Schizosaccharomyces pombe: one gene and its partner. Changing the gene in region 1 together with any one later gene gives a genetic interaction. Each region holds a gene or a part of one and is shown on either strand. Other genes may lie near its edges.

Region 1 (15,699 bases):
CGCGAATTCGAAGCTGCTCCCGCAAAAACTTATGCTGATTTCCTTCGTGCTTACCAAAGTTGGAACACTTTTGTTAATCCTGACAGACCCAACTTGAAAAAGCGCACTGAAGAAGATGAAGAGAATGAGGAAGAGGATGAAGAATACTATCGCTTTCTTCAGTTTTATATCATGACTGTCCCAGAGAATTCCACTATTACAGATGTCAATATTACTGCCAAATTTGAGAGCTAAACTCATTTTATCTTCATATTTTTTTTATTTTCTAGTATGTTAGCCCACACATCTTTACAAAGCCATGTGAAGCAATTTTTTAAATTAATTGCTATTTTCGATCTATTATTTTACCATACGATCTGTATTCCTATTCGCAATAATATTTTTAATTTTCATCTTAGTCTTCATATTGTAAAAAAAAAAAAAAAAAAAAAAAAAAAAAAAGAAAAAACGTATAGTAGTTACAATATTACTGAAATCTACAGTACTATACTTCTTTCAGTTGCTTTGTTTTTTAAAGTTAAATAAAACATCAATTTAAAAACTGACTATTAAACCACATGATTTGCGGATTGCTTAAGTAATAATAAAAATGAACACTACCAATTGTGTTAAGCGATAAAATTAGTCATATCCCATATAAGAAGAAAGCACTGAAGTTTCAATTGAAATGCGGAAAGCTACTGCTCATTTAAAATGCCTAGGACCTGCACAAGCATAGCAATGTAAAGGAGCTGCACTTGAAATATATATGACAGTTGAGATCCGCAAAGCATTGTTAGAATATATAAAATTTTATTCCAAAACTTTTTACTGTACTTCCGCATGTACTGTTGAACATTCAACTTTGTAAGAGACAGTAATGTCGTGAATATATTTTTCAATAATAAATTTTAAACTGAGACCATTGAACGAAGGGATCATTTGAGTTCATAAATTTTAAAATTTGAACAGAAAAGGAAGGCCTTTGACGATATCTCTTCTTTATTTGTTTTTCTTCGTCTTACCTTGCCCTATTTATGGTCTTCTTAAACATCAAATTACACCTTAGATAGTAGCTCTTTAATGATTACTCAAATTGTCTTTTATTACTAGGCCCGGAGTCTGTACAATCTAACTAGTTTTCTAAAAATATGAGAGATCCAACTGTGTATTATATCTAAACACCACCACTCCACTCTTTTACAAGAAAGCCTAATACTTATATTCAGAACGGTTTTAAGCTCTCTGATTACTGATAGAGAACTGAATTACAAAACCAAATTGTCCACTTCATTATTGAGCTGGTTTCTGTCTCATCTGTTGATATCTGAGATTTTGCATCATGGTATACATACTTGGAGTGGCTGTAAACGACGATAAACCTGTGCGGTTTGCTCTACTTTCTTTTTATGGAATTGGACATGCCAAGGCTGAAGAAATATGCGCAAAATTATCATTTCACAATACGTTAAGGGTTCGAGAGCTGACAAATGTTCAATTGACAACGTTGTCGCAACTGCTATCAGGAATGACTATTGAAGGTGACTTACGGCGTCAACGGAATGCTGATATCTCAAGATTGGTGAATATCCGATGCTATCGGGGAATGAGACATGTAAACGGGTATGAAAAGATCATTTGTGAACGTAGCTGTCTTCGACAACTTTTTCAACTTAACTAATGAATATTTCAGGTTACCCGTTAATGGACAGAACACTCGGACGAATGCAAAGACTGCTAAGAAGCTAAACAAAGTCCCACGACGAGGTTATATGACACTGTCGCCCGCTTCTACAAGGCCCATCACATGGAGTTTTTGTCTACCGAGAATGGTGTCTGTCTTTCAAAAATTAAAACATATTCATTAGCTAAAATAACGTTTATGAAATCAAACTTCACTTATCATGTACACTTCGTATTACCTCGATTTGCTTGATTCTGTTAAAAAACCAACAACCGGGATACGAAAATGAAAACGTATTCTATTTTTATTGTGTGAGAGAAAAAGCTCTCGCCTCGTAATTTCCTTCTAATATACAACAGCACTCAAAAAAAATACAATAAATCGAAAAATTGCATTGAGGCGATACTTACTGTGTCCTTTCAGTAGTAGGTACAGTTTGCTTCCTTTGCTGCAACTGATGAATTTGTTCAGGTGTTAGTTTTAAAGAACTGGAAACAGCGTATGGCTGAAGCCTGGGGACCATTCTACCAGCTATAGGCGAGACACCCGCTGATGAATTGTTACTACTATTTTGTGAAGCAGCTACAGCTTGAAAGGCTGCTAGTTGCTGGTTGTGTTGTTGTGCACCAGCAGCAACAGCGGCGTTTTGCGGCCGTAGAGCCCTGTTTTGTGATTGCAATTGTGCAAAGTTTCTCTGAGCCTGTATTTGCTGTATTTGTGCCTCACGCTCAGATTTCAAACGAGAAAGTTCGAGAGGGGAAGGAACCGGCGGCAATTTTTCAGTTGAAGCTGCAGATGGTGCAATCGCTCTCTTGGTCATAGTGGGTTTTTTAGCAAACTCTCTCTTTTTAAGGATCTTTCGTATAGCTTCAAATATAGTAATGGGTCGGTAATGTCTTGATACAGTTGGCAATAAGAAGTAAGAATTATGTTTAATCAAATGGTTAGGTGTTCCTTCATCCCGTAAGGATAGATGTTGGCTAACTTTATCCGAATGTCTTAAGGATTCATCTAATTTCTGCTGAGCGAGTCTTGCATGGGAGCCAGTCAATTGGACATTGGCGGCTCTGGGATCCACTTGAATCCATCTTTCAAAACAATCCCACGCAGTCCGCTTCTCGGCAAGCGGTATGTACAAACCTGGTGGTGTTAACCTACTGGCAACAAATTCCCAATTAAAGGAATATCGTCGCAAGAGTAATAAAAGGAGTTCATCTTCTTCGGGCAACCAAGGGGCTTCTGGACGAATATCTTTACTAGAAGGCGGATACGGAGGCCGCACACTAAAGGTTCCTACTGAGGATAGCTTCTGATTATCATCCTTAATTTTATTTCCATCTAGCTGGTTCTCATCGCTTCTCGCCTTCTTTTCCATAAACGACTCAGGTGGTGATAATTCCAATTGGTTGAACAAACGTTTCCTAGAAGCCTTTGCACAGGTGGATTTAAGCTTTGTTTTGGCATATGCAAAACGTGACACAGGAGTGATCGGGTACTTTTCAGATATTTCTTCACAATATTCATTGTTTTCAGTAGGAGGACCGTACATAGGAACGTTTAAAACGCAGTTCTGAATTTGTTCGGAGTTTGTTGTCACAAATATATCATCCGAAAAAACAGCATTATAAAACTGTAAAGAATCCCTGGGAATAGAGAGCACTTTGTTGTTATTATTATCATTTAGATTAAAATGGCTCACTATTTGTTCATTAAACGTTTCCTCGTGAGAGTCTTTCTGATGTTCATTCTCTTGCATGTACGGCTTCTTATTCTTTGACAACGAAGCCGGAGTACAAACAGTACATTTATCACTAGCTTGATGGTAATCCATTACCCAATTCGCCATTCTATGAGCCAATATAATTTTCCATTTACGCTCTTGAGAAAAATCAATTGACATCCATTGCATCTCATCCAAAACATAATCCCGATGAGTTTTCAATCGTGGCATCTCGTTTTGTCTTTTGGGCTGTCTAAAGGACCAAATACCTTTTTCTTTTGCAACCGTTAAATGATGTAGTGATTGTCGTACAATTTCCTCGCGATACGCATGAGACCAGTTATCTGATAGAACATATTTATGTGCATTTTTCAACCTTAAATGTAAAGGCGACATTTCTGTTCGAAGCAGCCATGCTTCTGAGGAAAGCTCTGGTTTCACCGGTTCAGAAAATTTTGAAGGAGGAATTAAAGTTAGTGGCATAGATACAGAAAGTTCAAAAAGCGGAGCTTCAACCCCAGTTCTGTCAATTGTAGGGGATTTTTCCGATGGTAACTTATTTTCCATTTGTAATTTACTAGGCTCAACAATTTCATCTACTGGCTTCTCGTTGACATCAACCGCTACTTCCTGAACAGGAGATTCAGTGGCCTTGTCAACGGAAATGATTTGTTGTTCCGAAGGAATCTCTTGATTATTTAATAATTGTATAGTTTTTTCAATATCAATACCTGATTGTACATTCTCAACATCATTTTCAGTGACCTTGGCTTCAGGAGAATGAACTTCTTCAACTTCATCAACCTTTGGGACTTTATCTTCAATTTCCAAAACTTCTGCAACAGTGACAGGGGGAGCCGTAGGTTCCGTTGTCTCTGATACCTCTTTCTTTTTCACTTCTTTAGACTCAACTTGATCAGTCGCAACCTCTACCGGTTTGGTAACGGTCACATTTTCTTCATTCCCATCTTCCTCATGTTCCTTTTCGGTAGCTTCAACCACTCTTAATTGCTTATCGACTCCTTCTTCTTGAGAGGATTTGTTTGCAAGTTCTTCGGTAAGCTGTCGAGCAGCATACTCGCTATCTGGCGTCAAAGGGCCTTTTTCCTCTTCAGCATGAGCAGTGGTTTCCACTTCTTTTACGGGTGTTGTTGGTTCAATAGTTTCTTTCTCTTCTACGTCAATATTTTTATGTATAGTTTCAGGTGAAGGTATGGGAGATTTTGACGTTATAATTTCCTCCTCGCTAAGTTCTAGGGAAGTTTCTTTTAAAGGTGTCTCCTCTGAAACTCCTTCCAAATTATCGGGTTCTTCGGGAACTATCGGTTCTTCAACGATAGGAGTTACAGATTCTCTAGCTGAAAGATTAAAATTTCGCCCCCTTGCATGTTAGTTGTACATTTGAGGAAAATACAAAAAGTTACTCAATGAGACATACCTTTTAAAACGATACTTTTGATAAAAGTTAAACCACTCAGAAACTTGCTCTGGTAAAAGATCACTTGATGAATGAAGCCATTCTAATCCATTAGGAAACTTGCAATGCAACCAAAATAAAAGAAGTAACTTTTCATGTTTCTCTTTTGTTAACTTAATCTCTTCATTGTCTACAGAGTCGTTTTCTTCTTCTTCGTCTAGAGTAAAAAGGGAGGCAAAAGAATCTGTTATCGATAATTTTTCACCATCGACTAAAGCAATTTGACTGGTTTTGGTCTCCTTCTTTTTAATTAAAAATATTAATTAGTTATCGAAGTACAATAAAATTATCACTTTAAGGCCCGTAAGACTCGTAAAAACGTACCTGTTTCATAATCCCAATTTAAGCGGAATTACGCTGGAAAAAGCATACAAATCGTATTCTAGAAAAGACACAGTTTTGCTTTTATATTTATTGTATGATGATATAAAGAACTCAAGGATCCTGTATACTTTCAGACCTAATGTGAACGAAGTTAGTCTGATGGTGTTGAGGCCCCCCAAGGGATTTGAGCCCGCAATCAACCACCATATTAGGTGAAGTAGAAAAACAAGGAAATAGCACTCTACTAGGACACAGTTTTGAACTACAAGTACAGCAATAAGACTGTCTTTTATTTTCGTCTTTTTGTTGCTCGGAGAAATCGCTTGTTCTATTTAAAAGTTGAGACGTTACCATAAAGGTTATCGGCATATTTCAAAGCTTTAAAAACGTTTCCCTTTCAACTTAAATTATTCAAAAATACATTCAGTTGAGCTACATGCCAAACCTACTATCATATCATTCTAAAAAAACTATCGTTAAGTGATCTATTTCTCCCTTATTTTCAATTTGTATTTATTATTTTACGACGTGCTAGGAATTGTGAAAGACTCTTATTTATGATCAAGTTTTTCTAGATTTTTGCGTTGCATTTGGTTTTTACATGCATCTATTGCTCATCCCTTGAGGATTATTTCCACTTTCTGTTGTGGATTTTCTTTTCTTTATAAAGCAAGATTGCCAAATTGTTGCTCCCAACATAACAAGGGATAATAACAATTCATCGTTGCTTTCGTTAAAACATTCTTTCATCAAAAGAACTCGGCACCTGCTCTTTATTCTACTTTGCATTTTTGTTTTAGTTCCGTTTTGCATATTCTTATTTCTTCTTCTCATATTACTTTATTCTTATTCTTTATTTCTCTTTTTATCTGATAATCACCTTGGTCATTTTAATTTACCTCTATGTAAACATTCTTGCATCTATATTTTCTTCTAATTATTTAAGGATTATGAGGATTTGGATTTTAATATTTTTCTCCTTCATTAAACTTGTCTCTTCGTTACAATATACGGGAAATGGTGTTTTAGCTTTGGACTTCGTTGCGAAAACTTTTCCCAACCAGGAAAATCAATTAGAGAAGCGTGACTATACTTATTCTCCATCTGGTATCACTTCATTTCCTTTAGATTTGCAGAGTTACACTTACTACACTACTACCCTTTCGATCGGTCGTCCGAGTATTTCGTACACTGTAGCTATAGATTTGGACATGCCGTACACATGGTTGACTTACTACAATGTAATGGCGTTTAATCCAGCGTATCTTGGCATAGTGAATAGTGGTACTCAGTGGAGTACGGATGAACTGCGATACTTTCTTTGTAAAAAAGAAAGTGATTCTTGTTATTTTGGGAATGCATCTTCTAGCTTCCATTTTGTTACGAGTCCAAGCACTTTTTTTATCCGCTATGACGATAACATTACAGTTGCTGGAATTAATGTTCAGGACTCCCTTTCTTACAGTCATTATCAAGCTTTACCGGACTTCCAATTCGGCATCACATTAAAGGAGTATGTTCCCAGTTCAATGCTGCCGTACAAAGGCGTGCTAGGTTTAGCTGCCAGTACCGAAATTAATTCAATAGATTATTCGGATTCCATTTCAAGTTTTTCACCACCAACCTTTTTGGAACAACTAGTTAAAGAGGATATATTGGCATACCCTGCTTTTAGTATGTATCTGGATAATCAGGGTAATGGAAGTTTACTTTTGGGAGCCGTGGATACGTCAAAGTACCAGGGACAGTTTGTCGCTTTGAAGCAGACTAAGCTTACGCATTACGCCGTTTCCATTTACTCTGTGCAGTTCTTAAACTCTACGTTCTTTTCTAATTATTCTATCATCACTGATGCATACTTTCAAACTCGTGAAACTTATATTTATTTGCCTGCCGAATTGGCTTACAGTGTGATGGATAATGCTGGTGCCTACTTATCCGAAGGCTATTTCGCATTAAACTGTGATGAAATTGATTTGGAAGCCGCTCTGATATTTCAATTTGGATGTAATTCAACTATCAAGGTACCGATATCGTTGCTAGTGATTGGGCAAGTTTCAAACATATGTCTTTTAGGTATTCGACCTTCGACGGATAGTGAGATTGTATTAGGTTTGTTATTTTTTCGAAACGCCTACACATTTTATCATCAAAGTCAAAAAATGATTGCCATTGGGCAAGCCTTTTATAACGCAACATCCAACTTGTCCGCCATCGTGGATCAACACATTCCTGGTGCTCTAACTTGTTCGCAATATCCTACGAGTGTGGCATCTACTCAATTGGTTCAGACTAGTCACTTCACATCCACATCGTTGTCTGCTGTGAATATTTCGGAAAGCGTCGTTTATTCCTATACAAGTAGTAGTAGTATGCCCTCTTCAGCTATTCCGTCCTTCAACATCTCTTTGATTTCTCAGAATGCGGTTGCAAATGCTGGAAATTCGTTTTCTCCGTTAAGTGCTATGGTCATTATGATGATGTCTGCTGTATTTTTAGGACTCGGTATTATATAGTCGATACTGATTAATTAAATGTGTATTTTATCAATTTTACAAGTGGCTAGGGTTTACTTGGATATATTTAGCTTTCTATCATGTTAATTTTTATTGATAAAATCGTTATGAACAAGACGTAAAAAACTCCGTTTCATATGAATATGAAAAGGCGTCATCTATTTCCTTTAAATGCATTTTCTACACGTCCGAGATGAAATTTAAGTCAAATTGACAATACAATTTCCATGTTGAAAAAAATAACAATAGGCAATCCTAAAGAACAACGACAAAACGTAAAAGAAGGATAATTTTGTTCGCTCAAACTGACCGAGAAAAAGTTAAAGTGTTGATGAAGAAAGTATGAAGAAAACTATATACAAAATAAAAGTCGAAAAAAAAAAGAGATGCAACATGTTGTGAGTAAATGATCACATAAGAAGTACAGACATTACAGTAAAGTTAAACGAATCCTTAATTTAAAAAGACAAGCATCCCTCAAACTCAACTCAGACGTAACGTTCACTTGAACGATCACTCAACCCCAAAGAGGTAAGACTACGTTCGACGAAGATACCTAACTTTTTATAAGCTTGTCGAAGTACATTCGACGTCCGACGAGATGATCCAGAAGAATAAGCATCAGGGGACGAGGAAGACGGGGTTGTAATGGTAGGAAGTGTATTGTCAGCAGCGGTAAAGGAAACAAAAATACCAATAGGAACAGACCATACGCATACCCCCATAAATGAAGCAACTTGTGAAAAGGAAGCACGAGAGGTCAAAAGGCGTTGACCAACAAAATCGTAAGTGAGTCCACGAGGTTTAATAGGGAATTCATGCACCTGGAAAAAGCGGACCCATAAGATATGATTCGCGACAATAAGGAAACATGCTAGCAAAAATCTCATTCTCTTAAATGAGAAGAAAGGAAAGGTATCAAAGTTGATTTTATAAATGTAATGACTGAAAATGGAGAATGCCGAGAGCCAAAAAGGAAAACCATCAAATATAACCAAAAACACCATTACCGCCATAATAAAATAAACCAACCGACATAAAAACGCCTTTGCGAGCCTAGAGTGCTCTTCTACAAACTCTGAAATGTAATACAAAGCTGATGCGATACTCACGGTCATGCCTATGAATCCCAAAACGATACCCAAGTACGACAGAGCATTAAGGACAATCATTTTGAAAAACGCTTTTAATTATGTCGTATCTAATAATCTTAACAAATGTGATTTTCTTTGGACTTCTTCAATATAGATAAATATGTTCGGATTTGTCGAATAAATACGGTTTTAATGCACAGCACCGCTTACAAAGCTTCTGCCTAAAGGTTTTAGCAATTTCTTAAGTTGCAAGGCACAATAAAAATATCAATTTCTATATTTTGTAGTATTGGTTGGTATGGGAAGACAGCAAAACCATGGCTGGTACTCCTGAATATCACTACGACCTTAAACAGAAAGCAAACTGTATGCTAATAATTGTAAATTTGAAAGTTGAATTTTCTTATTCCAATTAAAATGATTAATATGTATACTAAGTCTGCTATTTAGAGACGAGCATAACGGTGGTTTTTAGTTTTGGTGAGTGGCAATCGTGTACCTACATTACGGTGCCTAAATGTTTAGTTATATAGATTATAAATATATTTATATAGTAAAACCTTTCAATTAATTTTTATTCTTTAACGTAGTCAGATGATAGCACGTGTACTGACTTAAGGTTTCAAAAAAACTATTAATACCCATACATATTGGTATCAAAATTAACTAAAAAATAATTTTAAATTGTTTAAATGACTTTTTATCCTTGTTAAAAATTGTTTTCGTTGACATATCTAATTTGCTGAGGGGTTAAAAAGGGCAGTCCCATCGTGTATTTGGTAGCATTTAATGGCCAACTTAACCTAACCTCAACCAAACACTTCAACTCAGAAATACAAAAAATATTATGAGCGACAATGTACAGCAACAAGTAGATTCAGTTGGTTCTGTGACTGAAAAATTGCAAAAAACAAACATCAGCAGACCTAGGAAGTATATTCCTCCTTTTGCTAGGGATAAGCCAAGCGCTGGCGCAGCTCCAGCTGTTGGCGACGATGAGTCTGTCTCATCTCGTGGCTCTTCTAGGTCTCAAACTCCTAGTGAGTTTTCCTCTAACTATGGAGGTCGCCGTGAATACAATCGTGGCGGTCATTATGGTGGTGGCGAGGGCCGCCAAAATAATTACCGTGGCGGTCGTGAAGGTGGTTACAGCAACGGCGGTGGTTATCGTAACAACCGTGGATTTGGCCAATGGAGAGATGGTCAACACGTTATCGGAGCCCGTAACACTCTTTTGGAGCGTCAATTATTTGGTGCCGTTGCTGATGGTACCAAAGTTTCAACTGGTATTAACTTCGAAAAGTATGATGACATCCCTGTTGAAGTTTCCGGTGGAGATATCGAGCCTGTTAATGAGTTCACTTCTCCTCCTTTGAACTCTCATCTTCTTCAAAACATTAAACTCTCTGGCTACACTCAGCCCACCCCAGTTCAAAAGAACTCCATTCCTATTGTCACATCCGGACGTGATTTGATGGCCTGTGCCCAAACCGGTTCCGGTAAGACTGCTGGTTTCTTATTCCCTATTCTTTCTCTTGCTTTCGATAAAGGACCTGCCGCTGTTCCTGTTGATCAGGATGCCGGTATGGGTTATCGTCCTCGCAAAGCCTATCCTACCACCCTTATTTTGGCTCCCACTCGTGAATTAGTTTGTCAAATTCATGAGGAATCTCGTAAATTCTGTTACCGTTCTTGGGTGCGTCCCTGTGCTGTTTACGGTGGTGCCGATATTCGTGCTCAAATCCGCCAAATTGACCAAGGTTGCGACTTGCTTTCTGCTACTCCTGGTCGTTTGGTTGATTTAATCGATCGTGGTCGTATTTCTTTGGCCAACATTAAGTTTTTGGTGTTGGATGAAGCTGATCGTATGCTGGATATGGGTTTCGAGCCTCAAATTCGTCACATTGTGGAAGGTGCTGACATGACAAGCGTTGAAGAACGTCAAACTCTCATGTTTTCTGCCACTTTCCCCCGTGATATCCAACTTTTAGCTCGTGACTTTTTAAAGGATTATGTCTTCTTGAGTGTTGGTCGTGTCGGTTCCACTTCGGAGAATATTACTCAAAAGGTCGTACACGTTGAAGATTCTGAAAAGCGTAGTTACTTGCTTGATATTCTTCACACCTTACCTCCTGAGGGTCTTACCTTGATCTTTGTAGAGACTAAACGCATGGCTGACACACTTACCGACTATTTGTTGAATAGCAACTTCCCCGCAACAAGCATTCACGGTGACCGTACCCAACGTGAGCGTGAGCGCGCTTTGGAATTGTTCCGCTCTGGCCGTACTTCCATTATGGTCGCTACTGCCGTCGCCAGTCGTGGTTTAGATATTCCCAATGTCACGCATGTTATTAACTACGATTTACCTACTGACATTGATGACTATGTGCATAGAATTGGTCGTACCGGTCGTGCTGGTAACACTGGTCAAGCTGTTGCGTTTTTCAACCGTAACAACAAGGGTATCGCTAAGGAATTGATTGAGTTGTTGCAAGAGGCCAATCAAGAGTGCCCCAGCTTTTTGATCGCCATGGCTCGTGAAAGCAGCTTTGGTGGTAATGGACGTGGTGGCCGTTACAGTGGTCGTGGTGGTCGTGGAGGCAATGCTTATGGTGCTCGCGACTTCCGTCGCCCTACTAATAGTAGTAGTGGTTATAGCTCTGGCCCTAGCTACTCTGGATACGGTGGCTTTGAAAGCCGTACTCCTCATCATGGTAACACTTACAACAGTGGTAGTGCTCAATCCTGGTGGTAAATTTCCTAAAAAAATATTTTTATTGGGTTACGTGCATCTGTGTTATGCACAGGCTTCTGATGATTTCCTTTAGTCAGAGGCCGAAGTATTGTGTCCATTGTTTTGCTGACATTTGCAAAGCGCGAGGATGTCAGAAAGGGCGAAATATTTGGCTTTAATTAACTGTGATTGAGTGAGTTGCACGAAACGTCTTTTGTTTAGGTCCGGTTTTTTTCATTTTTAAGCTGGGCTTGGACGGATGCTCATTGGGTGTGCTTTTTAATCGTTGCGGTTGTGGAAGCGTTATGTAAAAACGATCCGGCAAAATTTAGTATGCGGTGTTGTGTTTTATTGCATAATAAGATGAGGCGAAAGTTTCAGAAGTCAATGCGTGCATGATTTATTCACGGGACTTTTTAAATAGAATATGCATATTTGAAACATTTGCATTGACGAAATGGATGTACGAATACGACGGGCATACAAAATGACATATATTATACATATTTTATATATATCTATTGATATGTTGAAAATTTCTACAGGCTTTGAGCTCATGATTTTAAAAATCAATGATGGATCTTTTTTTACGAGTCTGTGTTTCTTTTTTTCGAGAGAACTTGGAAATAGGTTAGTGTCTCTCTTTTGTTGGATTGTGGTTCTTGGGTAATATTTCTTTAGGAAAAGGTTTACGATTCTGCAATTTGTAATAATAGGATGCGCGCTAGAGCAAATTAATAAATTTTATTGCAATAATAAACTATACACATGTTATTAGGCAAATTAGTTATTAGTAAAATTAAGGAATGTAATTAGTGATATGTACAGTCAGAAATACTAGAAATATATACGAAAGATTAAGTAACGCAGCTACAATGATCACTGATACAGAAAGTATTTAAGGGTCTAGTTGGACTAGACAATTGTTTATTTATTGTGTCGCAGTAGTCACAATCAAAAGAAATAATTAAATAAAAAATTAGAAATAAATGGTGAACCACTTGGACCTATATGCTTTGACGACATACATATTAATAAGTGAGGACAATGTCAAGGGTAACTTAAGTAAATGTTGAAGAAAAATGCTTGATGATTATGTTTTTACGTTCTCAATTAAATAAGTAACTTTTCAATTAATTGAAAAACGAATATTAATGAGTAACCATGACTAGGATTAAAAGAATAAACAACCATACTTAAACTTAGTATTCAATAGATTGTTGAGATTAAAGAGAACAAAAATTAAGGAAACAGATCACAGCACAATTTCATCAAAAAATTGCAATTTTTCTTCGTTTTTCTTTATGTTTTTATATAATATAAAAAATTGATGAAAAGCAAGTAGTCCTTCTCTTTTTTTTTTTTTAAAGAAAAACCGAAAACAAATGTAGAAAAGACAAGTTAGGAAACAGGTTTGTAAAACAAGCAAGCTAACCGAGAACAAAAAGAGACGCATTTACAAGGGATATAAATATGTACAATTGAAGGTGCGAAAATTTTTCACAAGTCCTTGCGCACTGGGAATGCGATAAAAGAAAAAAACCATAGGGAACAACCGAAGATCCAAAGTACCAACAAAACGAATGAAGCTCTTGCTCTAAACATTGTTAAGAGTTAATTTAATCCCGGAAGGAAACAAAAGCAATTAATAAGATGAAAGCGATTAGAAACATTGAGAGAGTAAAGATGAAAAGTCGACGAGAGGAAGTAGACACACGCTTTAAGCGTTGAACTAACAGCATGTGCTTTATGGGGTCGATTCTCTTTCTAGGATCTCTGTTTTCAAACTGCAACTCATCGCTGTCGCTATCATCAAAGTCTGGGAATTCATCTACTTCTGTTTGAAACCGAACATTTTTGCGGATTCGTTGTCGAGGATCGCTTTGCGAAGCAGAAATATCATAGAGGGGATTTCCCGTATACACAGGAGAGTAAGATGTTGTTGTAGGACGATACATAAAGTCAAATGATTCAAATTTAATTAGATTAAGAATGTGCAAAAGATAAATTCTATGCAAATCGGATCTTGGATATCATAGCAAAATACCGGCACGCTATCTACGTTTACCGATGGTAGTGTACACTTTTGGCTTAATTGGTTTATCAACTTTGATAAATTACATTACAATATTTGTGATACATAACGTGTACGGTATTGTTTTTCTGATACTGAACGAATTTTATGCTATAATTATGAATGATGGATTAGCAAAGTCTCATGGGTATTTTGCCTTTCAATTGCTATTTTAAAAGTAAGATTAATTGAAATTAATTGACTCTTTGTAATTCTGTATTGGTTCTTCTTAACAAAATCACTTTGAAACTTAACTTTTCTTTGCTTTAGTTAGATTTGGAATGCATTATTTTATGCTAAAGAATGTTGTAATTTTATTGCTTGGTGTCTATCAATATTACTGTGAACTGACCGCAATACTTTTTTAAAAATATTTTTCGTTAGCAATAAACTTGAAATGAATTAAACTAAGGCATAGCCATTAGTAGCATGCTTCATGTTTGGGTGATAAAAAAAAGTAAACATGATGTCTGAAAGCAATTGTTAGATGGAATGTCTTCACCAACGTGATCATTGGGAATTCTTGAAAATATTTTAAAAAATATTTTATTTTATTCAAAACAATTGAAATTCCGCAAATGATTATTTTCCCTCAAGGTAAATTAAATCCTTGTTAATAAAATTTATTTACTTCCATATTATAAACATAGTTAAATAATATTTTTTAATTTTTTAATTTTTTTTACATGCTACTTTTTAATTGAGAGTTGAGCTCTTAAATCGAGGAACAAAAGGTCAACATTCATTAGAGTAAGATATGTTCCGTTTGCATTTCTAAAAAAATCATTCAAAGTCTCTATTTAAAAAAAAGTAATATAAATAAATTAAAGGGAAATCAGAGCGTCAGCGATCCAAGCTTTGGTTGAAAAATATTAAATAATAGGTTGCAAAACGCAGTTTAAACAACTTCATACAATTCCTATAAACAAAGAATACAATGTATGTGAAATTTAATGCTATCAATTATGTAAATGAAATGTATCTTTAATATTTATCTTGCTGACAATAATGTATTAATTATTATTATTATCAATATTATTATTGTATTTATTATTTCTTTTTAATCCAATGGCTATAGGTAGCGAAAAATTTTTTATCAAAGTACAGTGAGAATAGTTTTTAATTCATTAATTCATTTAATTTCTTTATTCTATTTTTTTATTGATTCAAAATCGTATACACAAAATAAAGAAATGAAAACTAAACATAAATTACTTTTACGACTGCTACTTTGAAAATAACAACAATCAAGTATGTGTAGGGAGGGAATCACAATTGAAAGGACAAAAAATCTAAAGAAAGAATAAAAAAGGTCGATAATTAGTTTTATTTATATATGTATTTTAAAATTTATTCATTTCGACAGAATAAATTTCGTTTTATGAAATAGCTTAGATGATTTGCTACTAACTTTGAAATGAATCATAAACATAATCTTCGTAATGATCAATAGGCTGTTTCTTTGAAGGATTTATTATACATGCTTTGGGTTTTATACAAAGAATATTTGTAAAGTGTTTGAGGAAGCACTTGTTTTGTGCCAATCTAATTCACCTACGTATGTAGGTAGGTATGTAGTGAGTATTGTTGATGATCAAAGAATCGTAGAGAAGTCTCAAATGCAATGACCAGTTTCATGATTTAAAAAAGAAAAAGATATTGAGATTGCTATATTACGCATCAGCTTAAAACAACCGTGCTTTTACACCGTATTTAAGCCGCGGTATATATAGCAAAAGTTTTATTAGCCCAAAATAATCATAAAAGAAGTATTGCAATCCATTGATTACCAAAAAGAAAAAAAAAAAAAAAAAAGAAAGTTTGTAAAGGAAGAACTTACCAAAAAAATCCAAAGACAAAACATTTTTTATAACCTTCTTAACATCCGCCATTAGTAGATAATGTTGTTAGTGAGACATGTAGCAAATTTGGTATTGATGGCATTCTGTTGCATAGAATTCAAATGTCTGTTGTCAAGTTTAATTAAAATAATTCACCTTATCCTTTGTAAATCGTACATTCTACTTTACCAGCCATCAGTCCATGCTTCATCAAGTTTTCGCAATCAAATTAATGGGGAATAATCGTAATCAA
Region 2 (15,569 bases), on another chromosome or scaffold:
ATACTAACTTCAATGTCTAGGTTGCTTGGACCAAAGCGTACCGTAAGGCACATGGAAAGGAAATGGTTTATGACACAGCTCTCGCAGTTACCGCAGCTCGTAGAAATGTTCCTGTTCGTTACGACCGTAATGTCATTGCAACTACTTTGAATGCCATGAAACGGGTTAGCCAAGTTCATGCCAAGAGAGAGCGTCTGTTTTACAAAAAGAGATTGGCTGGCAAACGTGCCCAAGAGCTTCAAGAAGCTCAAAAACTCATTGCTCAAAATGTTCCTCAATTTACCGAACCCGAAGGTGAGGTTGAAACTGCTGAGGTACAAGAACCCCAAATTGTTTCCGACGAGGAGTATACCATGGAAGAAGAAGTTGCAGAACCTGTCAAGATTCCCGTCCTCGCCAAAAAACGCAAAAACAAGAAATCTCGAAACTCATCTTCAGCCATGCAAATGGACTAAACACTCTTCTTCCTACAAAAATGTAACTCTCGATCTTCCGTTGGTTGCGTCCCGCTTCGTTCTTTTATTTTATTTTATTTTATTGTTTTATTCCTTTCAAATTTACAAAATAGTAGAAGAGAAGACATTTTTGGGGAGTGGTTTTCTTACACTTTCGAACTCTTTAGACACTTCGAAAACGTGTTTTTTAAAATTTATCTTGCATATCTAAAGTTGGCATTTGGTTTCGGCTTCTCTTCTCGTTTGGTTACTTCTTTGGACTTGCATGCTACGTGCAGATTAATATGGTTAATAATGGATTTTCGTGTATACATACTTGTAAACGAACCTATCTTCAGTTTGGAGCTTGTACAAGATACAACAGTCTAACAGTTTGAAAAATGGTTGTTTAGGAATAAATTGGTTTATATTATTAGTTTCGTTTATCACAAATGCCTCTTCGAAATGTAAAATTCTACTAGAACGATAGAACATTGCTTCATTATTTGGATTCAATTCTCCATGAGGTATATTTAGTAAGTCATAAAACAGTAAAGACTTTGTCATTTATGCTGGTTTCCTTGCATATACATTTCTCTATAGTTGACAAGCCTATTCAAGTCTCATATCACTGTGGAACTCATGAAAACAGATCCCTCTCCTTGTAAAGCTGTTTAAACCCTACAGTCCAATGCTAAAGGTTGTTAATTCTTTAGAGTTGCGAGTCCGTTATTGACGTTTTCGATTGCTTGCGCACACTCACTAACACCATACATTAGCTAACTACTGACACATTGCACCTGCCGTTTATCTCAACTCATTGTCTTAGTAGATGATTTTTTTTTTTCAAAATGGTTTCTTAGCAAGACTCATTAAAAACTCCTTGACAGTTTTATTACCTTCTAAAATATGTAAAATGAGAAGTTTCATAGAGAAATGAACTATTCTTCAACATCTTCTTCTCTTTGTTTTTACCGAGGAGACGTTAGACTGCGGAAACGTGGTTTATGGGACGTGTGTTTACACTCGGTGGATGGAAATGTTGAAGAGCGGAATAATCGCGACGTCGTATCAACTACCAAAATCGCGTATGCAAATTGAAAACAGAGTATTTGTTCAACTTACATGGTTTTTCGAGTATTTATATACTAGATTCCTAGTTTTAGGAGAGTTCAGATAATCGAGATAGCCATTGGTATAGTTGGGGCTAAAATCTTTGCTTTCATAAGAAAGCAGTAATTTCCAAGGTTAAATTGCTCCTGTACAGAAATTAGCGTTTATGAAATACTTCTTTACTTTGTTATAAGTTGATCGTTTTCTCTTTGGTTAAGTTAGCATGTGGAAAATACGATGCGTTTGTCCATTCGAGGATGATGACGGATTCACCATCCAATGCGAAAGTTGCGAGGTATGGCAACACGCCGTTTGTGTAAACATAGATGCAAATAATGTTCCTGAAAAATATTTTTGTGAACAATGCCAACCTCGTCCTATCGATGCCGACAAGGCGCATAAAATTCAACTAGCTAGGTTACAGCGCGAAGAAGAGCAGTCTAGGATATTATCGCGATCCCGTTCTTCCAACAACAAGAGAAGAACTAGTTTTGGCAAAAATGGTGCTAGTCCTACACACTCTGCGTCACCGAGACAAGGCAATAACACAGGCGCTAATGGCGCTTTATTTTCACAGTCTACCAACTCTTCGAACTCGGGGTCTTATCGTAACAGTGTGACTGGTGCAACATTGCCCAATGCTCATGCTCCACATTCTCAGAATCGCAGACGAAGATCCAACCACCTTAACAACCCACCAGAGGCTCCAATCACCGAGGCTTCTAACGAATATGTGTATTCGTTTCACTTGGAATACGTCCCTTTGGAATCAAACACCTTTTCTGCATCTGCGCTTGAGTATTCTAAGAATTTGGATTTAAAGAATTTAGATGAATCCGAAGTTTTAATGGATGGATGCCAAGTCGTACCTATATCATCTTCAAAGTTTTGTTGTAGTCGCTTTGGTTTGGTGTCAACTTGCGAAATTCCTCCAAATACACCCATTATGGAGGTGAAAGGAAGGGTTTGTACGCAGAATGAATACAAAAGTGATCCCAAAAACCAGTACAATATTTTGGGGGCTCCTAAGCCACATGTCTTTTTTGACTCAAATTCTCAGCTTGTTGTTGACTCACGGGTTGCTGGTTCAAAAGCGAGGTTTGCGCGTAAAGGTTGTCAGTCAAACTCCGTCGTTTCAAGTGTTTACATGAATGGGTCTAACAGTGTTCCTCGATTTATCCTCTATTCAACTACTCACATAGCTCCGGAAACAGAGATTATTGGGGATTGGACTCTCGATATTTCCCATCCATTTCGCCAGTTTGCGCCTGGTATGTCGCGACCCTCCTTCAATATGGAAGAGTTGGAATTACTTTCAGAAGTGCTTTCTACCTTCCTGTCGTTTAACGAATGTGCCTCACAGGATAAGAAAAACTGTGTTTTTTCCAGAGTTACTAAATATATTAAAGCGGCCCGCCGCGCTTCTACTGCAAACCGTGTCAGTGTAGCAAAAGACCGTTTGTCTCTGACACCTTCCTCAACCCCTTCTACCCCTAGCCCTGCTGAATCATTACCGCAACCTTCAAACCCCACATCGGTCTATGCCAAATCCTTGAAAGAGTTTTGGTTAGATAAGTACCGTCTTAGTATTTTGCAAAAATGGCCTGCTGTTAAGTCATTACCCACAGAAAGTGTAGGAATCGATGTAGTCATGGAGCCGAAGTTACAGCCATCTGTGAAGGAGAAAAAACCAACTAAAGATTTACAATCTCCACTACCCTCTGTTGAGGAAGATTCCTCTAATAGGGACAAGAAAACTGATATTGCTGATTTACACACTGATTCTAAGGTGGGCATTGCAGACGTCTTATCGCCCATTTCACCCGATGCTGCATTACAATCCGATGGTCCATTGAAAAAAGCAAAGGAACCTGAAGAATCCTCGATAACCCCTACAACTCCTCCATCTTTTAATGTTGGAGAATCACTAAGTAGGCGATCAGCCTCACCATTACAACATCCTCGAACAAGCCCAGATATGCTGGACAAAACTTCTCCTTGCAAAAGAGGATTAGGAACTATTACGACAGTCCACAAAAAGCATGGTTCTGTTGATCATTTGCCGTCAGTTAAAAGACGCCGTAGCATTGCAAATGATTTTCATGGCAAACCTGATTATAATAAAAGATCGCTATCTATCGAAAGGAAGCCGGAAGCCTTTAAGACTAAAGGTGACAGACCACATAAGGTCCATCCTTCTTTCCATAGAAATTCAGATTCAAAATTGAAACTCGAGCCGTCGAGTAAAGAAAAGAGTGGGTCCATGTTTTTTAATACGTTAAGGACTGTAAAAGATAAATCGCATGTTCACGACACTCAAAGGTCTTCTGACGTTAACTTTTCTAGACAGAATGGCACTCGATCCCATTCACCTTCGGTTAGTCCTGTCGGGTTTTCGTTTGATAAATCTCCTGTAACTACGCCTCCTTTGCCGACAGCTCCAGCACCAGTTATAACGAGTCGCCATGCTTTGGTAAACAACCAATTTCCTACGAACAATCCAAACATTTTGGACCACAAAGCCAACAACGGTGATGATATCTCGAATGCGTTAAATACTTCAAGAAGCGAAAACAAGCCCAATTCGAATCTGGTCCAAGGAAGTGTAGTCAAGCCTAGTAACACTTCAGCCTCTGCTCTTCCTACCTCAGCACCGAAGAAGCTATCTCTTTCTGAGTATCGACAACGACGTCAACAAAACATTCTGCATCAACAGTCGAAGGATAATCAAGCACATGGCGATACAGCTAGGCCTCACACCGTTCCTGCTGCTACAGTTTCTAACCCTTCATTTACGCGATAAAAATTCTAGAAGATGTTGTAAATCTTGAAACCATATAAATGTGTGGATGATTTTTTTTATTGGATATGGTATACGAACAAGTTTTCACGATTCTAAAGTTGGTACGATGACTGCATCTTTTTACCTTCATATGTATTTTCATTTCATTTTTTTATTATGATGATTGGTACTCGGAGCATATTTTACTGTCACCTGCTTCTGCATTCTTTTCTTCTTCGTTTGTAAATATTTAATGACTAAGTGTTTGGGCGAAAACTCTAGTTCCTTTTTTTTTTTTTAGTTTCTTTTGATTCAGAGCAACGAACCCTCAGTCGTTGCATTTTTCTGTTCCTAATTTGCACGTTTAGAACATTGTACAATATAATAATATTAATTTATAGCAGTTAAATGATTTATGTTTGTCATATAGAAGTTTCGGTTCGTAAGATTATAAGAACTAACTATTTAAGATGTCAGCTATTTCCGTATGCGACATGTACTAGATTAAATAACTTTTTGGATACGCAAATGAAGCTAGTACATTTTGAGTATTAAGTATCATAAATATAAACATCGATTCAAATATGCTACGTGCAGATTTCAGCGAATTGTCGCATCAAATTAAACTATTCATCGACGATCCACTCAGATCTTGTATATATCAAACGGCCTACGTTAATATAGCTTGTCTACTTATAGCGACTCTGAAAGTGCGCCGTTAGATTATTGTGGTATAGAACCGGGAGGTTAGGTACCATTCCTCTCTCTCCATGAACCTACTTTTTTAAGCGAAACGCAAACAAAAGTAAACAATTACCAATGAACATTTCACGTTCATCAGGTCTGATGAGACAGTTCCTGCTTCAGCCCTTACGGAAAGGCTGCGACATTTCTTGCCTTGGAAGGTCAAGTTGGAGAATGAGCAGGAGCTTCTCTGGATCGAGTGTTTTAAATGAAATTAATTTGTCACGGACTAAGAATTTATTTTTGAATGATTGTAAGTTTAATAAAAATTCATTTGAAAAGTTTTTTGCTCGCCGGCTGAGTAACTCAGTCGCTCCTACACCAGGTGGCATCCTACAGGAAACCGAAAAAATTCCGAGTAAAAAGGTCGCCTTTTGGCTGCTTGGATCTTCTGCTCTTGTTCTTGCAATTGTTGTTGTAGGTGGCATTACTAGACTAACTGAATCCGGGTTAAGTATTACTGAATGGAAGCCCATCACTGGCGTAATTCCTCCTCTTACTGATGAACAATGGAACCAAGAATTTGAGCTTTACAAAAAATCACCAGAGTTTGAGAAGCTGAACAGCCATATGACAGTGGATGAGTTTAAAAACATATTTTTCTGGGAGTGGTTTCATCGTGTCCTCGGTAGAGGAATCGGCTTGACAATCCTTCTTCCTTCCATATACATGATTGTGACTAAAAGGGCATCTCCTTGGCTAAGCAAGCGACTAATCGGCCTTACGGGACTCGTTGGACTTCAAGGAGTCATCGGTTGGTGGATGGTCAAGAGTGGTCTTTCAGAAGAGCTCTTCAGTGATGGTTCTCATCCGCGTGTTAGTCATTATCGCTTGGCTACTCATTTAGCCGCTGCCGTTGCTCTCTATATTGGCTTGGTGTGGACTGGGCATGGAATCCTTCAACGACATGCCTTTTTGAAATCTATGAAGAGTGGCTCCACATCTCAATTGACTTCAATGGTTTCTTCAGTTCAGAAAATGAAAGGATTTCGTACTAGTGTTAACTCATTTGTTGGCTTGGTACTGATCACCCTTTTGTCCGGTGCCTTTGTTGCTGGATTGGATGCCGGAATGATTTATTGTACTTTCCCGGAAATGGGCGAAGGAAGACTTGCTCCATCTAAAAGCGAGTTATTTGATCAAAGGTTTTGTAGGAAAGACGACAAGTCCGATCTTATATGGAGAAACATGATTGACAACCCAAGTCTTGTTCAACTCGAACACCGTATCTTAGCTATTACTACTTTTGTTGCTGCATGTGGTCTTTTTATTTTTTCCCGTGCTAAAAGAAACATTTTGCCTAAGAAGATTAAAACTAGCATTAACGTTGTTACAGGCGTTGTAACTGCTCAAGCTACTTTGGGTATTATGACTCTAATCTATGTTGTCCCTGTACCTTTGGCAGCCCTTCATCAAGCCGGTAGTCTTGTTACATTAACCGCGGCCTTATCACTTGCTCAGCGCTTGCATCCAGAATACGCTTTAAAAAACATCCGCTCATGGACAAAATTAATCTCTTCTCCTCCCAAAAGTAGCATTTCATCTTCCATTTTGACTCAACAACGCCAATTCCATACATTCCGCCCATCATTCCATTCCGAAATTAAAAAGCCTTTGCCGGGCACTGGAATCAAAGTTTTTTTCGTCACGCCTGAAGGACGTGAAATCATGATTGAGGGAAATGAAGGTGATAGTATTTTAGATCTCGCTCATGCTAACAATATCGATTTAGAAGGCGCTTGTGAAGGGTCTGTTGCATGTTCGACTTGCCATGTTATCGTAGATCCAGAGCATTACGAACTTTTGGATCCCCCGGAAGAAGATGAAGAAGACATGCTTGATTTAGCATTTGGTCTTGAGGAAACAAGCAGATTGGGATGCCAAGTACTCTTAAGAAAAGATTTGGATGGCATCCGTGTACGAATTCCTGCTCAGACTAGAAACATACGATTGGAGAGACCAAAAGCTTGATTTTGTCAACATGCTTACAATTTGACAAGTGTCTCGTACTAGTATTCCATAAAAGTATTTTCTTCCGAAAGTATACTATCTCATCCGTATTCTCAACTTTCATTTTTTTTTTTTGGATCAAGTTCATGCCTAGCTAATAAATGCACATAACTAATTAAATAGTCAACCTGGCACATGGTTTTACATTTTAACTATATTCCTTCTTTATCCAGACTACAGTTGTTTTAATTATAAATTAACCCTTTGTTTTCAAATCTTACACTTAATCATGAAAACTTGTAATATTACTAAGACCAGGATGAAGATGGTTTCTAAATTTCATACTTTTAATGTTTTCATCGTCGTTTATATTTTTTTTACTATTAAATGCTTAAAGTTATTTCATGATTAACAAGTAGATGCTCTATTTTTCTGTATTGATGAAATGTAATATATAACATGGTATTATAGTAGACACACGGTTTAGCAATTGCTCACTTTTGCCATGTATTTCTTAATTGGAAAAGTTTAAATACTGACAGCTTTACACTTTATATGTGTTTTAGTCGAATGGCTGTTTTATTGTACATAGCCACCACTATGGTACAGTGGACACCATAATCTGTTAAGCCACCTAGTGCATACACCGTCCCAGCACCATGCATCCTGCTTTGCTATGTGGGCCAATTCTTGCAATATTTTTACAGTTTTTGGTTTCTTCTTGCTCTCCATTAGAAAACGATGATTTATTTCTAGTTCAAGTGGAACCTGAAGTTGATCCTGTAGTAGCAGCAGAAGCCATTGGTGCTAAGTATGTGCGCCCTTTATTAAATTTGAAGTATCACCATTTAATTAAGCTACATAAGGGGAGCGATGATTCAGTCCAAAGTTCAATTCGAAAACGAGGCATTGATGCCGGAATCTTGGAATTGGAGCGCCAGACGCCCAGATGGCGCTACAAGCGGGATGCGAGTGAATCTGATGAATTACTGAATGAGTTCTCTAATCATTTTGGAATTTCGGATCCTCTCTTTTATGGCCAATGGCACATATTCAACTCGAATAATCCTGGACACGATCTGAATCTACGTGAAGTCTGGGACGCCGGTTACTTCGGTGAGAATGTTACCGTTGCATTTGTAGACGATGGAATTGATTTTAAACATCCAGATTTGCAAGCTGCTTACACTTCGCTTGGTTCTTGGGACTTCAATGATAACATTGCTGACCCTTTGCCAAAGTTATCAGATGATCAGCACGGCACCCGTTGTGCTGGAGAAGTGGCTGCAGCTTGGAACGACGTTTGTGGCGTAGGCATAGCTCCACGCGCCAAGGTCGCTGGACTTCGTATTCTTTCGGCCCCTATTACTGATGCTGTTGAATCGGAAGCACTGAATTATGGCTTTCAAACAAATCATATATATTCATGTTCCTGGGGCCCTGCAGATGATGGAAGAGCAATGGATGCTCCTAATACGGCTACTCGTCGTGCGTTGATGAACGGTGTCCTTAATGGCCGAAATGGTCTTGGGTCGATTTTTGTGTTCGCTTCTGGAAATGGAGGCCATTATCATGATAATTGCAATTTTGATGGCTACACGAATAGCATATTCAGTGCTACCATTGGTGCTGTTGATGCTGAACATAAAATCCCATTTTACAGTGAGGTGTGTGCTGCGCAATTAGTTTCAGCATATAGTAGTGGCTCACATTTGTCTATATTAACTACAAATCCTGAAGGCACATGTACTAGAAGTCATGGTGGTACCTCAGCGGCTGCTCCGTTAGCATCTGCTGTATATGCTTTGGCGCTTTCGATTCGTCCTGACCTTAGTTGGAGAGACATTCAGCATATTACAGTGTATTCAGCATCTCCTTTTGATAGCCCTTCTCAAAATGCAGAATGGCAAAAGACTCCAGCAGGATTCCAGTTCTCCCATCATTTTGGGTTTGGTAAATTGGATGCATCGAAGTTCGTCGAGGTGGCTAAGGATTGGCAGGTCGTGAATCCACAAACCTGGCTCATTGCTCCAGAAATTAATGTTAATAAATCATTCGGGAGTGTTAACAATGAGACAATAACTGAAATGGTAAGCGAATTTACCGTTACTAAGGATATGATTGAGAAAAGCAACTTCAAAAGATTAGAACATGTCACTGTTAGGGTGTGTATACCTTTTAACCGAAGAGGAGCATTGGAGATTCTCTTGGAAAGCCCTTCCGGCATTCGTTCAATCCTTGCCAGTGAACGACCGTATGATGAGAATAGTAAGGGGTTTTTAGACTGGACGTTCATGACTGTGCAGCATTGGGCCGAACCTCCAGAGGGGGTTTGGAAGTTACTGGTTAATGATCGAAGTGGTGGAAAGCATGAAGGTACGTTTGAAAATTGGCAGTTGGCTTTGTGGGGAGAATCTGAAAACCCTTCTAATACTGCACCACTCCCTTATGACACTCTTGAGCTTCCAAAGGAGATGGTCTTGGGAATATACTCTGAACCAAATAGCGATCTGACTAACTCAAGTACCTTGTTGAGCCCTACGTCTACTTCATTTACTTCTTACACCGTATCTGCCACAGCTACACCTACATCAACGTCTCATATACCGATTCCTACAGTCCTACCCCCTACCCAACCTGTATTGGAACCCTCTTATAGAGAAATTGTTGCATTTATTACTTTCTTTTTGTTGTTTGCCTTTATTTTCGTTGCTGTCATATGGACATGGATTTCCGCATTTTGGAAAGCTAAAGCACCCCCACCATTGTCTCAGCAAGAAATTGCTTGAAAAGTTAACACTCGTTTTTTCACTTCTGTTTAAAATAATATGGACTACTTTTTAAAGTATGATCTCTTCTTAGATGTCACTTGTCATTCGTTTCATTCATCGATATGAAACAACCTAATTGGCATTTCTTAATTTTGCATTTTAATAAATACGCATGGACTACGTATTTAATTCGACCCCTTTGAAGTGTAATCATTAGATAGCGTGTATAAATACCAAGTAATAAAATGTATATTGGATTATGCTTTGGGTAGTTGAAGTGATTGTCTTTACGATTCACTGGTAACAGTATTCGGATTTAATAGTAAAGGCTTTGCAAAAAAAAAATAGTTGAAGTCCTAATATGTTTGCTAATGTATCGCAAAGCTTGTTAAAATCTTAACAGCATCGTTGCTTCTCGCTTTTCAGCAGCCTGCATACATGTCAAGCAATGTAATTACATCTGTAATGTTGATTTTAAACAATTATCAAAAGATAAAAATTTCAATACACAAATACGCATTCATAGCTGTTTAACAACTTTACGCCATATAGAAAAATCATCAAAGTTAGTCATACAAATGTAACGGAGTCATCTCGAAACAAACGAATGAAAAGTAAAATGTACAAGGATAATTCATCTTTCTTCAAATTCTTCCAAACAATCAGTAACCATAGCATCCATCCATTCAGTCACCAAATATCCCAACCCCAATAAAGCACTTTCATCCAAACACTCGAATGACTTTTTCCCTGTCGCAAGCATGTATTCTGTTGCAAAATCCTGGATGCTATGAACTAAATCCTAAACATAAAAAGATTAGTTAAACAAGTATTGGCAGAAGCTGTGAACTTACAGGATCCGGCAGTTCATGTGGAATTGGAACAGAAAAATCCTGTACTAAATCACGAGCTCTGTAAGACAATTCACCATCAGCATTCACCAAATTATACAAAGTTGGCCGAGTTGGTGGATTTGACATTAATAGATGGCGTTGGACGTAGAGTATGTACTATGCTAGGTGAAGCTTCTAATTCGTCCTTGCAGTAGTACAATCATATTTGGAAACACCAAGCTCAAGTAATGGAATCCCCACATTCTTAAAAGTTAACTGCGACTTACAGAAAATTTATCTCGAGGTTTACAGACATACTGAAAAAATAGTTCAGGCTTTACGACATAACAACAAAACAACTTTACACAGATACAATCCAAACCATATTATATTGACCCAATACTTAATTAAAGTGGGTTATTAATAAAACGTAAAGAACCTTTTCGCCATTTTTGAAAGGGGAATTTTTTTTCTGTCATATACAGATTTAATCTAATACTATTTATCGGTCCTGCCGCGTAAAAAGACAGAATGTTGATAAAAATGCAGAAGGAAATCGAATGGTCGATATAGACCATCCGTTGACCACAATCGTTCATTACCGCCTAGCATGAACAATAGAAATATGTTAAAAAATTTCGGAAACAGCGGAGCAGGGTTCGAGAGGGAAAGTAGTTGCTCTAAATATGAGCTTTTGATAGCTCATCAGCAAGTTCTTTGTCTTCTTTTTCTTCTTCAGAAGTCTCCGGCTCAGGGCTTTGAGACTCAGCTTCTTCTTCTTCATCCTCCTCCTCCTCGTCGGTAAGTTCCTCCATATCATCAAGCTCATCTAGTTCACCACGACCACGGGTGCTAAAGACTTCACGTATTTCATCAACAACATCGTCTTCTTCCGAAAATCTGTTTCCATTTAATTCAAGGAATAAAAGATCCGGCATTTTCTCATCAATCACAGTTTTTAGGGTCCGGACAGCATCCAGCTCTATCTCGTTATACTGTAAGCGTAACGTTTGAAGCCCAATATTTTCTAATTTAGAAAAAGCATCTACAACTGCGGCAGCACCGCGAGCAGATAAGAGACAATCGTTGAGGCCTAGTTCTCGAAGGTTGGGCCAGCTTTTCAACGCGATAGCGAGAGCGCTAGAGCCCAAGTGCGTAAATGTGTTATCTTGAAGATCGAGTACCTTTAGCTCTTGGCAATATGCTAATCCTTCAAGCAATAAGTGTTCAATACCTTCGGGACGGATACCATTTTGCACCATTTTCACTGTATGTAGCAAACGGTGGCTCTGGAAAGTTTTAGCCCATTCTTTCATACTCCCATTTTCTAAACGATTTCTTCCACAAATAATGGAACGCAAGGGAGGTGCATTTTTAGCTTTCTTGTTGACCGCCAGCTCTTGCAAGGCACGAGCAATTTTTGCGCCAGCTTGAGGACCGAGTCCATTATTGTGTAGGTAAAGATGCTCCAAAGGTGTGTGTTTTGAAAGAAAGTCAATCAAGGGCTCCTGTGCAGTAGGGCCAAAGGCATTATCGCTCAATCTTACAGTATGTAGTTTTGGGCACTTGAGTAAAGCTTGTAGCAACAGACGTAAAGCCTCAGGAATTTCATCTTTGACACGTCCAGTAAAGATATCACTAAACTCTGCAATTTCTAAATCTTTTTTTGAGGCAATATTCTCTGACAACCATCTAGCAGCTTCGGTTCCAATTGTGTTACCAGACAATACAATTTCCTTTACAGAATCATCTTCTAACAGAACAGCAAATACAGACTTCTCGTCTTCAGTTGTAATTGCATCTAATTTCAAAGACTTCCCTTCTATTGAAAAACGCGACATGGAGTTGGTTGTTGAAAGAAAAAATATAGCAGGTATGGTGGTGAGGAAAGATTGTGTGAACTAGCTGTGTATGTTAAATTTGATCGAGGATAGATGCTTCAGTCACTTGAATTCATGGCTTTTAAAAAAGAAACTAAAATAATATTCAAAGTAGAAGAAGAACGAAATTTATCCTCTTTTGACGGATACCCCCTTTACTCAACCTGTTTTTATTTACAAACTCAAATGCGATCTCTCGCTAATGAGTTTAATTTTAAGACGATTCTATGCTATTAGAAGTCATTTAAATTATTAGATCAGATTAGCGCAAACCGAAAGATACTCAATGTCGGAGTGGTGCATTAGTGCTCGGATACGTTCCTGAAAGACATGTATAAAACTTTTGTAAATAGGATGATTGAGCTTTTTTGACATTTATCTATCATTCATTTTTGAAAAAATAGCTGTGACAATCCTGTTGCATATAGTTTGTTTTTTTGACTAAGTATAGAGGATCTTATGAAGAACCTTTTTGAGTGACCTTAGTCCTGAATTCTTAGCTTAAGTTTGCTTTAACTTAATTGCATTTCTAGCAATTAACATTGCTAGATTTTTGCCTCATCGCTAGTCCATTTATAAGAATACGAAGTTGAACGAAGGAATATTGACCAAAAGAGCTTGGTGACTTCCAAAAAATGAAGAATCAAAAAGATCTGAAATGAGTATCCCTATCTTTCAGCTTTCCGCTTGTTTCGTGATCATTTCAGTTACTCACACATATACATTTATGAGTTGACCCAAAAAGAAAATCGGAAAGCGGGAGTTTAACAGATATATGAAAAATCAAGATAATAACAACAATTGATATTTTTAGTTTAACATTTCTTATTCATTACTGTGAAAATCCACGAGTCTGCACTCTAGACACATAGAATACTCTTTAAACAGCTTTCACATTATCAGGAAAGCTATTCCATTGATACTGTATTCTTTTCAGTAAATTAATTCTCATTTCATAGTTGTAACCATTCTCGAATTGGACTTCAGTCCGCATTCCAGTACTTGATCTGCTTTACCTGTTTCAACAATTTGAATCGTTTGATTATTTTCCCATTCAATCATGACATTGATTTAGACGTATTGCTGAATTAAGCCATTCCTGTTATTTGTCCCAACGTATAAAACTGGTTAAAATGTTTAAGTACTGTGAATCATGTCATTAAAAGTTTGGAAACGTGATTTTAAAGGAACAACTCATTATTTTGAACATAAATCATTACCATACAGATTTTTCTTCTTTTTCTTCTTTTATTATAAATAGGATACGATAAGTAGAGGAAACCGTAAATTTATGATGATTGACTCCATGATGCGGTAATTTCAATCCTTCCACTACACACTGCCTTTAATTCCAGGTCCATCTGGTTAATCATTTTTTAAAGAATCTAATTCATTCATATTTTTTTATTATAATTTACATTATATTTTCAATTTCTTTTTACTGTTTTCTCTCGTTTCTTGAGTCAACGGGCGAAGATTCGTGTTTCAAACGTAGTATTCTTTGGAATATCACAAATCTCATTTTAATTTTTAAAACGGCTTTCTAATTTTCTACCGAGAAAGAGTAGAAAGTTTCCCATTTCATTCATAATTTCTGATCCATTCTTGGTATCTTATTGTTTTGCTTTTATCCAATCTCAGTTTATATTTGTGAAACTTGAAAAAGAGTTTCTCTTGTCTCTAAAAGACTAAATTTTATTTTTTATTTTTTTATTAATTTGCATTTAACATCTGCTAATCTTTAAAATGGCAGTCCTACAGTGGAAGTTATCTCGTGTTATATTCGTGTTGTTAATCATTGGGATTAGCTCTTTTCTCATTTACTTCCAATTTGGAAACTCTTTTTCTGCTTCACCTGCTTTAGAACGTTTACAAGATGTATTTTCCAAACCAAGTGTACAAGAATACGACTACTTAGTACCTCTGGATGAAGATATGCAAGGCCTTAGCACGACGTATCATCAAGCGACAATTAACGAGGATGATCCTCAAGAGCCCAAATCCCATGAAATAGTAATCCTCTTAGCGAGTGATGGACGTTCAAGTGGCAATATGGCACCTGAAACATTTAATCAATGCATAGAAAACCGAATTAACTACGCAAAGCATCACAACTATGGCTTTGAATATGTTAATGTAAGCCAAATGAACATTCCTCCAGTGTGGGCCAAAATGCCCGCTATTATACAAACAATGAATAAGCATCCTCATGCGAAATGGATTTGGTGGTTGGACCAAGATGCGTTAATTTTGAACACAGAACTCTCTATTCAAGAACATATTTTGTCACCTGACGTTTTAGTGGAAAAGTTAATGAAGAATGAACCTATGATATCTCCATTTAGTGCTGATCTCGAACGTCTCACCCCAAGTTCCTATACTGTTGACAGTGCTCGTTCTTTAGGGCTATTGATTTCTCAAGATTTGAATGGCTTAAACGCGGGAAGTTTCTTTGTTAGAAGGTCGCCCATGATGGCTCTGTTTTTGGACTTATGGGGCGATAAATCCTTTAGAGAAAATAAGGTTGCGGATCATGAACAGGCCCTTTTGGGATATTTTGTTAGATATCACCCGGAAATTGCTGCTATAATAGGAATTTTACCTCAAACCCTTATTAATTCTTACCCTGTTGGCCAGCCGGAAATGGGCTGGAAAGAAGGTCATTTGGTTATACATTTTGCTGGGTGTTGGGTGGAGAACCGTTGTCAGGTTTTGTGGGATGAATATCGTGAGAGGGTTCATTGATGTGCATTAATAATAATAGTATTACCATTATTAATGCATTTGGTTATTTCCCCTCATCTTGTCTTTATTTTTATTATACACAAGCCACTGGATGCCACTCCTTTTACATAATTACCTATACAATTATGCTCTATGTATGTGTATATATTATCTAAGCATAGTCTGCCTCCTTAACCGTGCTAGTTACGGTTGTTTTCAATGGAAGAATGTGTTTATTTTATATGCGGTGTTCTGTTACAGAGGTGGTGGATAATCATCTAATTCCTTCTTTAATTTTTCTAATATACATTGCTATATAAACTAATTGTGACACTTAT

The links.
Region 2: of yps1 (region 1) and krp1, extra expression of one rescues a mutant of the other (dosage rescue), as found in Schizosaccharomyces pombe (one study listed by BioGRID).

What each region holds. Positions count from the first base shown.
Region 1 is NC_003421.2:970,614-986,312, reverse strand, and holds yps1 (yapsin Yps1), read left to right. Parts: upstream 1-5,378; 5' UTR 5,379-6,134; coding exon 6,135-7,700; 3' UTR 7,701-8,086; downstream 8,087-15,699. Other genes in the region: P-factor pheromone Map2, read left to right, coding at 1-234; sws2 (mitochondrial 37S ribosomal protein uS13m), read left to right, coding at 1,322-1,602, 1,673-1,847; vid21 (NuA4 histone acetyltransferase complex scaffold subunit Vid21/Eaf1), read right to left, coding at 2,070-4,764, 4,822-5,102, 5,185-5,193; protein SVP26, read right to left, coding at 8,189-8,872; translation initiation RNA helicase Sum3, read left to right, coding at 9,642-11,552; SPOM_SPCC1795.12C (uncharacterized protein), read right to left, coding at 13,151-13,489. UniProt on the Schizosaccharomyces pombe protein: Cleaves at paired basic residues.
Region 2 is NC_003424.3:5,028,683-5,044,251, reverse strand, and holds krp1 (kexin), read left to right. Parts: upstream 1-7,671; 5' UTR 7,672-7,682; coding exon 7,683-9,812; 3' UTR 9,813-10,065; downstream 10,066-15,569. Other genes in the region: ribosome biogenesis protein rlp24, read left to right, coding at 21-455; putative histone H3 lysine methyltransferase Set3, read left to right, coding at 1,771-4,350; etp1 (monooxygenase-ferredoxin fusion protein), read left to right, coding at 5,149-6,760, 6,806-7,044; RNA polymerase I upstream activation factor complex subunit Rrn10, read right to left, coding at 10,429-10,596, 10,649-10,774; RanGAP Rna1, read right to left, coding at 11,308-12,468; alpha-1,2-galactosyltransferase Gmh3, read left to right, coding at 14,254-15,252. UniProt on the Schizosaccharomyces pombe protein: Membrane-bound, subtilisin-like serine protease that processes the P-factor precursor and other precursor proteins. Essential for cell viability. Cleaves substrate on the C-terminal side of dibasic residues.